2 linked regions of the Nothobranchius furzeri genome follow. The protein of the gene in region 1 interacts with the protein of each later gene in a biochemical or structural test. Links are inferred from orthologs where the notes say so. Each region holds a gene or a part of one and is shown in the gene's direction. Other genes may lie near its edges. The genes, in order: araf and gna12a.

Evidence for each region.
Region 2: the proteins of araf (region 1) and gna12a form a complex in vitro, tested with the Homo sapiens proteins (2 studies listed by BioGRID). The link is inferred for Nothobranchius furzeri from reciprocal best matches to the Homo sapiens genes ARAF and GNA12.

Annotation. Positions count from the first base shown.
Region 1 is NC_091757.1:26,541,238-26,545,579, reverse strand, and holds the start of araf (serine/threonine-protein kinase A-Raf), read left to right. Parts: upstream 1-1,257; 5' UTR 1,258-1,332; intron 1,333-4,342. UniProt on the Homo sapiens protein: Involved in the transduction of mitogenic signals from the cell membrane to the nucleus. May also regulate the TOR signaling cascade. Phosphorylates PFKFB2.
Region 2 is NC_091744.1:16,146,999-16,151,576, forward strand, and holds the start of gna12a (guanine nucleotide-binding protein subunit alpha-12), read left to right. Parts: upstream 1-1,636; 5' UTR 1,637-1,867; coding exon 1,868-2,185; intron 2,186-4,578. UniProt on the Homo sapiens protein: Guanine nucleotide-binding proteins (G proteins) are involved as modulators or transducers in various transmembrane signaling systems. Activates effector molecule RhoA by binding and activating RhoGEFs (ARHGEF12/LARG).

The DNA of each region.
Region 1 (4,342 bases):
CCAGTAAAGCCCCCCTCTCGAGAGGCGCAGAGGATTGCCCCAGGGGGACACAACCAGCAGCCGGCAGAGTCCGGGGAGATATCAGTGGCAAGCCCACAGGCCCGCCCGCAGCCTCCCACCCCCAAGCCAACCGAGCCTGGAACCCAGCGACCCGGGACCCATCCCTTCTTGTGATGTTGCAAAATAGCAGAGGTGTGGACTCGAGTCACATGACTTGGACTCGAGTCATTATTTTAATGATTTCTGACTTGACTTGATAAAATCTATAATGACTTACGACTTGACTCGGACTTGAATGCCAATGACTTGCGACTTGAATCAACTTGAACCTGCTGACTTGATGATGACTTGAGCATATTTGATATTTTAGAACAAAAGTGGCATGACATGGAAAAAAAATCATAAATCATTCTTCATTCTGGGTTTGATCTTGTACTGCTAAATGCAGCAGCACTTTGTTTATAATCAGTTTCAGTTGCACTTCCTGCTTGTTTGAGCAAATAAATGAAGCTTTAAGAAGCTTTTTTTCTGGATTTTATTTATTATCATTGTCATTAAATTGAAGTTGGACAGATGACTTGATTACGACTTGAAAATTCAAAGTTAAGGACTTGGACTTGACTTGGACTTTCACATCACTGACTTTGGACTTGACTTGGACTTGATTGCCTTTGACTTGGACTTGACTGGAAAGACTTGTGACTTACTTGTGACTTGCAAAGCAGTGACTTGGTCACGCCTCTGCAAAATAGAACATTTACATCGAAGACCAGCTATCTGAGCTCCTGACGTCATAGTGGTAGGTGTGGCCAGCAACAGTTCATTTACATTAAAGTGGCACAGCTCATTATGGAAGGCACTGAAAACCTAAAAAAAATTAACTGGTGACATTACTTTATGTGAGAGCGATTTTGTGCAAAGAATTTCTTGTACATGTTTTGTATAAACCATCAAACAATAATTTCTTGTTTAAATGTCTAAGTAAACATATGAAATATCCCCTTTAATGATTGCACCAAAACAAACTAATTTTTCTTCATTCAGCAGAGTATGAAAAGTGTGTGAATGAATAGTAATGGGTTAGCTGTAAATCGCTTTGGGAGCCTTGAAAAGCGCTAAATAAATCTAATACATGAAAAATTGTTCTATTCAATTGAAGACATGAAAAGCGGCCACGGACCGCCCCCTACATGCCCAGCCTTGATCTGTCCAATGAGCGAGTGGGAGCACAGAGATCAGCCAATGAGAACGCAGCATGGTGCTTTCCTACTTTCCCTGAAGTTCTTGACAGATCCGACTTCAGATTGAGAGCGTTCAAGATGGCTGCCACAGGTAAGACTAACTAATCAAACTGTCTGGAAACACATCCGAACTGGGACGTGTCGGAGTAACTTTTAGCCACCCAACTAGTTCGTGATGTGCTGAGCGTGTCAGTGGATGGGTCGGTGTTCCGGGAAGCAGGCACCAGACCGGCGCGATGGGTCGGCGAATCCCCACAGGTTTGGCTAATGTTAGCCGCCTAGCATCCAAGCGCTTTACGGTGTGCGGAATCGGAGATAATCTTATCCACTAACGTTTAGCTTTGCAGATGCTTGCTCGAATTTGAGATTTATCAACAAATGATAGCATTTAAACTCAACATTATTTACATGTGTGATTTTGTGTCCGTGAACCAAAGAAGCCTCTTAAAAGTTACAGGCTACTTAGCTAAAGTTTTGTTAAGTAGCGCCAGAGAGAACTATGGCCTCAGAAAACCCCAGTTGTTGGAGCAAATGGAGACCGGCTAGCAGGAGCTCCGGTAAAGTAAAGCTCCGCCACACTTACGTCTGATTAGCTGCTCTAAGGACACGGTCCACGCTCTGCGCATGCCCCGTTGGTTGCTGTAGTGGCTACTGGGAACTGTGGGATGTGCCGCAATGGGTTTACTCTACCAGAAACAAATTTAAACAGTTTTCACACTTTAATGTGGGCCAGAAAAACTTGACACACCAGGACAGAGTAACGAGTTTCTTTTACGGAGCTCAAGATGGCCTTCGATGGGAAACCGGCATTGAATGCATTCATGAACACTTCCTTTGCATTTTATTATAAATGTTAGATTTGCAGAAAAGTTAGGAGGGAAATATGGTTACTCATTTCCCAAAGACTAATTAATTTAAAGGTCATCCAAATGTGCAGTGTCTACCTCTGGGTCACTGTTGCTGCAGATGAGCCTGTTGGGAATTATGTCCAATAAAGTTCTGGTGGATCTCCTCCACCAGAACTTTGTGGGTGGAGGTTGATCGGGACATTTTCCCAATTAAAGTTTAATAATGATTATGTTTCAGTAGCTTGTGATGGCATGAAGTACAGAGAGATGGGCCTGGAGCCTTGACCTTCCATGGTCATTCAGAGACCCCTGTAACATCCTTGTATATAATATCTCTAGACAAGGCTGCTTTACTTGTATAGCACAGTCATACACAGTAGCAATTCAGTGTGCTTTCCAGGAGCAAGAGCAGCAGGGAGGCTCCGATGCACCAGTTTCAGGAAGTACCAGTCAGATGGAGAAGGTATTTAGATTGCAGAATTTGGAGTCTTATTTCCTGATATCTGGACATCTCTCCTCTGATTGGGTAACAGCAACATGTCTCTACCACTGACTCTGTTTGGGCTGCAATATAGATATTTTATCTCTACTAATTACACTAGCCTGAAGGAGTTCTGCCATGTTGGAGCGTTACTAATGCTAACAGTTAGCTAGCTTCTACTAGCAGAGATGTTCTCTGCTGTTTCCTGGATGCTAATCCAACAAGAGCCTTCTCCATCGTGAGTCAAGATGAATGAATCCATGAGCGTTACCCCTTCTTTCCACCGGAGCCGTCAGCAGCACGTTACTGCAGCAGCACATCTTGCTCGCGTAAGCTGCTGCTTGGCCCTTCCCACGAGACGCGAAGCAGCAGGGGAGCAGCTGTCACCGACAGAGCACAAAGTCACACGAGTGACGTCGTCAGTAAACACAACAACAAGCAGGAGAAAACTACAACATGGCTCCAAAATGTTTGTGTTTTATGTTCTGTCTGTTTTATAATCGCCAATACGGACCTGAAAAACAAAGGAGACCGCTAACTAGGTGATAACTTCTCACGGGGACGCACAGTTAGTAACTTTTGTAAAAGTAAAGCAACCGGAATGAAGTACGTTTCTTTATTCTGAAAATCTCGGGAGCTTCTCTCCATTTCCGCGTCCGATTTCCTGTCTTTCCTTCCCCAAAAATGTTGAACTTGACCCGTTTCAGAGGCGTCGTGCGTAGAAAGTAGAACCGGCGCGTAAAGGCCGCGACATGCTGCTCCTGAGACGCGGCCGACTCGCGCTGCTGACGGCTCCAGTGGAAAAGGTTCTGTTGACCACAGCGGTTCCTATCAGCAGCTATGACGTGCTGCTGCAGTAACGTGCTGCTGACGGCTCCCGTGGAAAGAAGGGGTTAGGTGACAGTGTGGCGTAGATCTGTCAGGATTTTCTTATCCTAGAGTTTTACTGTCTATTTTCTATCAGAAGCTAATGCAGAAGATAGGTGTAGGAGACTATTTTCATGTTCAACCTGCATGAAAAAATCAGAATGACTGATTATAATCATAAATAATCATGACAATGTTTTTTAGTGTTTCACTCCTTTAATCCTGGCGAGTCAATCCCACCCTCAGTGGCTGAAGCTGAGTAAAAAGCTGCTATCCCTGCTGTTTGGTTTTTTTTTCTGCTGGTCCGCCCCCTAAAGTGTCCAGGCGGCATGTGTAACTTTTATGTTCCTGCTACTTTTTGCAGAAGATTTTTGGCATTTATTTGTAAATGTTTACAAATAAACTTTGAATCGGCACGTGTCACATCACGATGCCTCGATTAAATGGTGAATCTGCACACCCCCTTATCGTGCGATGAGAGTCTGGCCTTGACGCAGCATGTTAACACCAATAACAGCCCACCCCTAATTATGATATATTTCACCATGGAGTTGTTACTGTCCTCTTGCCAATTACTAGATGCTAATAATATTGTTCCAATGTAGGATTACATGTCTAAAAATCACGTTTTTTTTATTTAGCGTGATGAGCTTCGTCATTATGAGATTTCTATGTTTCTCTGCCCCAGTGTGAGAGTAGCTGCTGAACTCAGTGGCCCAGCCAGGACTATATATGTAAAAAATGTAAAGTTTCAAGCTAAGTAGAATATTTAGAATACACGATGCAGTGTTTCCCTAGAAAAGTTTCCAGCCGTGGGGGGGGGGGGGGGGGGGGGGGTTGTAACCTAGTGCACGCGCTAGAGGATTGTTTCGCTGCCGCGTTCCATCTGTCAGAGCAGGGGGTGG
Region 2 (4,578 bases), on another chromosome or scaffold:
GTTTTTGCTTTAGTTTCTATTATTTTTGAAAGTTACTGTCACTGTTTCTGAGGATTAAAGTGGCTCTTCAGATTTTATGTATTTAGTTTATTATTTTCAATGCATCCTTTTTCTCCGTGTTTCATTTTCTGTAGCCTCTGCAGTTTGCAGCTGATTTTTCACACCTGCGCTGGCTTTCTTTGAATCAGCCCAGCTCTTTTCACCTTGTAATCGCCCCTCCCTTCATACATGCTCCTCGTCTTAGCGGCCTATCATACAATAATGCAGTGTTTGGTCAGGTTTTAAGGTCATTTAAAGAAAGCTAAAACATTTAAAGAGCCAATCCAACAAAGATTTGTGCACTCATCATGCAGTCCCAACCATGCAATAACATGTTGGATGACCACATGGCTTATACTGAAAAACACTGGTATCTCAGTGTGATAATGCAAATCCTCAATCACTGCACTGTCTGAAGCAACTAAGGATAGTATAGCTCTTCTTTCACAAAATGCAAAGAGAAACAATGTAGGCTAACTTTTAAAAAGTCTAAACTTATGACTTGAAGCAGTGGCTTCATAGATTAACTTTAGCTGTGTGCAAAATAGTCACTGGTTCACTCACTCACACATGCACACTATAGTATGCTGCAGTGTTTTGCATTTCAAACATCACTTAAACATAGCAAACAAAATCAGAATTATGCTGCATATATAAATGCTGCAGGAATAATGCACTACTTCATTTTGAGGTGATGTAGCATCTTCACCATGAGATCCTGTGTGTTCAGAGTCAGGTTCCAAATATCCAACAAGGCAGCATATGTAAACATGACATCGTGGGTTCACGTTTCTACAACAGACAAATACAAAGATTTCTGGTCTACAACTGAAACTTGAAAATTAGAATAAGGTGCCAAAGTCCATTCATCCAGTAATCCAGTTTAAATGAAGCAACCATCTAAAGGCTCGGGAACCCTTTGCAGGTGTTTGGATTCATTAGCTGATTAGTGAGCGGCACTTTGAGTCTAGAATATTGAACCTTTTACAATATTATGTGTAAGAATTTGAATGTGGAGTTTTCATAAGCTGTAAGCCGTAATCATCACAATTATAACATATAAAGGCTTGAAATATCTGGCTTTGCATGGAATGAGTCTGTCTCCTGTATCAGTTTCACGTTTTAAGTTTAATTTAAAAACATAAAAGAACTTTTGCACCATCTTCTAATTTTTGTATTGCACCAGTATTTTTTTAAAGATGTTCATGCTTCTCACGCCACTGTCTCATTTTTTCCATAAGTAAATTCTACTTGTTAATTCGCTGTTAAAGGTGCTCTATAAAAATGGAACTTTATCATTACTAGTAAACAAAATCAACAGAACCACTAAAATCCCTTCATTTACACTGCTCATTGTTTCCGCTGGCGCCCCCTGTCGGTGAGCTCCGGTACTCCTCCGGCGCCCCCTCGTCCTGTGACCGTCCCCTGCCGCCCGCGGGGGGGCTGCTCTTAGTTCACAAACCGCTGGATGCTTGGGTAGTTAGGCTGTCCCACTGTGAGATTTCCCTGCCTGAAGCATTGTTTTTCTTTGCATGGATACACTAACTTCAGGTCAGTTTAAACCACATTTTCTGTCCCTAATTTGGACTTTTAAGCGTTCAAGGATTAGTTTCTCCAGCTAGAGAGTTGTTTTCCTGTTGATGGAGCGGTCTAACCAAGATGGACACGGGCTGTCTGCCGGGGGGAGTCTAGATAAAGGTTTAATGTAACATTACAACCCGCTGGATGTAGCCGAACTGGGCCGTTTCCACCCCAGAGGTCACGAGTCTAGAATGAACATTTTCCCACTGGAGTTTCGGTAAACTTTTTTCCTTTCTCACGACTCGCCATGTCGGGAGTGGTCCGCACCCTGAGCCGCTGCCTGCTCCCGGCCGAGGCCAGCCGGGACCCGGGCGGCAGCAAGGAGGGGAGCCGGCAGAGGGACGCGGCGCAGGAGCGGGAGGCGAGGCGCAGGAGCCGGGAGATAGACGCCATGCTGGCCCGGGAGAGGAGAGCCGTGAGGCGTCTGGTGAAGATCCTCCTCCTCGGGGCCGGAGAGAGCGGAAAGTCCACATTCCTGAAGCAGATGCGCATCATTAACGGACAAGAGTTTGATCAGAAAGCGCTCCTGGACTTTCGGGACACTATCTATGAAAATATACTGAAGGTAGGAACAAAGTTCACTCATGCTTTATCAGGTCACAGTGACGTTTATTTATCAGAAAAAGTAGGTTAAACCTGTAAAAGTCATCAGATCATTTATAATAAAGGATCATTACATTTGATATTGATCAACACTTTGATTTTATTGATTAATCAACTAGATGAGGTATAGAGCAACAACATTACTGCTGATAAGGTAAACATCAGTTTATTTCTCAATTACAGAGGTCAGATGTTTTGTATCATTCATGGTGGGAAACTGAATAAAACAAACAATAAGTTGTTTTCAAATAGTCAAAGAGACAGGTATGAACTTTGACCCCTTTCTGTGTAAAGACACTTTTGTTCTAAAAGTATTTATTAAACCAGGAAATTATTTCTAGGTTAAATGATGCCTTATAGGTCAATAATTTAAAGCCATTTTAACCAAGGTGTGATTCACTCACTCTCTAAAACACACATGCGAGTTCTGTTGACACAGTGCATATTTTTATCCTGAAGTGTGTGTGTGTGTGTGTGTGTGTGTGTGTGTGTGTGTGTGTGTGTGTGTGTGTGTGTGTGTGTGTGTGTGTGTGTGTGTGTGTGTGTGTGTGTGTGTGTGTGTGTGTTCTTTTGTTTGCCGTCATGACTGGGCCTCCTTCACCAGCTAACAATACCAGACTATTCCTGAGGGATGAGCACATCCGCCCTGAGTACCATACAGCCCAGACTAGGGAGATAAGAGCCTGCACTCCAACACAGACAAGACAGCATTCATAACCCTCCCCCAAACACGAGCTGCTGTCCTGTCTCAAGTCAGATCCCAAACACAATCCTCCTCCTGCGTAATGATAAATGACCCGCACTTGTATAGCGCCTCTCAGAGTAAGGACTCCAAAGCGCTTTACACTACAGTGTATCATTCATCCATTCACACACTCCTGCGTAATCATCCTCTTACAGTTTTGAAAAAAATCTGAAACCAATAACCCATTTAAAGATTGCAGGAAATTAAGCAATGCATTGTATTGATCTCAGTAAAACATGTGACTTTGTGGGCAAATGTTATCCACTGTGTGTGGAAGTCTGAACTGCAGATCAGCACACACACTTTTCGACTCTTAATACATGTTGATGAGGTTTGAAGTTTATCTTGCTGAACTAAGCGGGTTCTTAAAGGATCCTGCTTAGATGGCAGCATATGGCGCTAGAACTGTAGATATTGTGCAACATTAGCGGCAAGGATCTGCATTTGCACAGATGTTTGTGTTGGAAATGCCCTCCTGATAACAAGCTGGGTGTTTGAAACTTTGATTCTTTACACAAAACTGACTTTTCCTGCTAATTTCATTTCTTTATTTCAGAGGATGTAAGTGTGTTCTTGTCATTTGTTTGGCGTTAACCAGTTTACTGTTATTATTTCTGAAACTAAGTCGTGTTTATTATTTCAAACTCCAGAGTCATCTCTGTTTTTGGTGCAGCGCAGGTCAGAAGTTCATAGCTATCAACTTGTTTACTGCTCAGATTTTTTGGGATCTGGATTAAAACGTCAAATTGTTGTTTTTTTTTTTAAATTTCTGTGAATATTTCTTACAATGTTTGGCATTTACTCTTTCTTTGACAGAAATGTAAACCAACTTTTTGTTTTAACCAACCCAGGCTTTTCCTGTATGTAGCTGAAGCATTTTCATGAGACTTCAGCGGCGCATCCCTTCTTACCTGGACTGTTTCAGAAATAGCCTGGCAAGCCACCCTATATATGTGAATATATAGTCTGGCCACAACTCAGAGAGAGAGATCATCTATAGGGTGAAATCTGTGGTTGTCTTTCAAACTGTCTCTGCATGCTATTGGACAATGAACATTGTTACATACTCACCTCTGACAATCAACAGAGCAGTCCACCATACACTGTTGAAGAAGACACAAATACCTAATTTTTCTAAACAAAGGAATGTAGTACCTCTATCTTCCCTTGACTCAAAGAAAAGCACAAGTCTAAATAGTCCAAAGTCGATGCTAAAGCCGTTTCAAATGAGCCATCACCATCTTAGGGGCAGCAGTAGCTCAACAGGTTGAGCGGGTTGTCCAGTAATCGGATGGTTGCAGGTTCGATCCCGGCTCCGGACAGATAATTCTGCTGTTGTGTCCTTGGGCAAGACACTTAACCCACCTTGCCTGCTAATGGTGGTCGGAGGGTCCTGTGGTGCCTGTGCTCGGCAGCCTCGCCTCTGTCAGTGCGCCCCAGGGCAACTGTGGCTACATTGTAGCTCATCACCATCAGTGTGTGAATGGATGAATGATACACTGTAGTGTAAAGCACTTTGGAGTCCTTACTCTGAGAGGCGCTATACAAGTGCAGGTCATTTATCTTAATTGCTCCAATTTGTTGCATCGTCCTGCCCACCAAACCGAAAG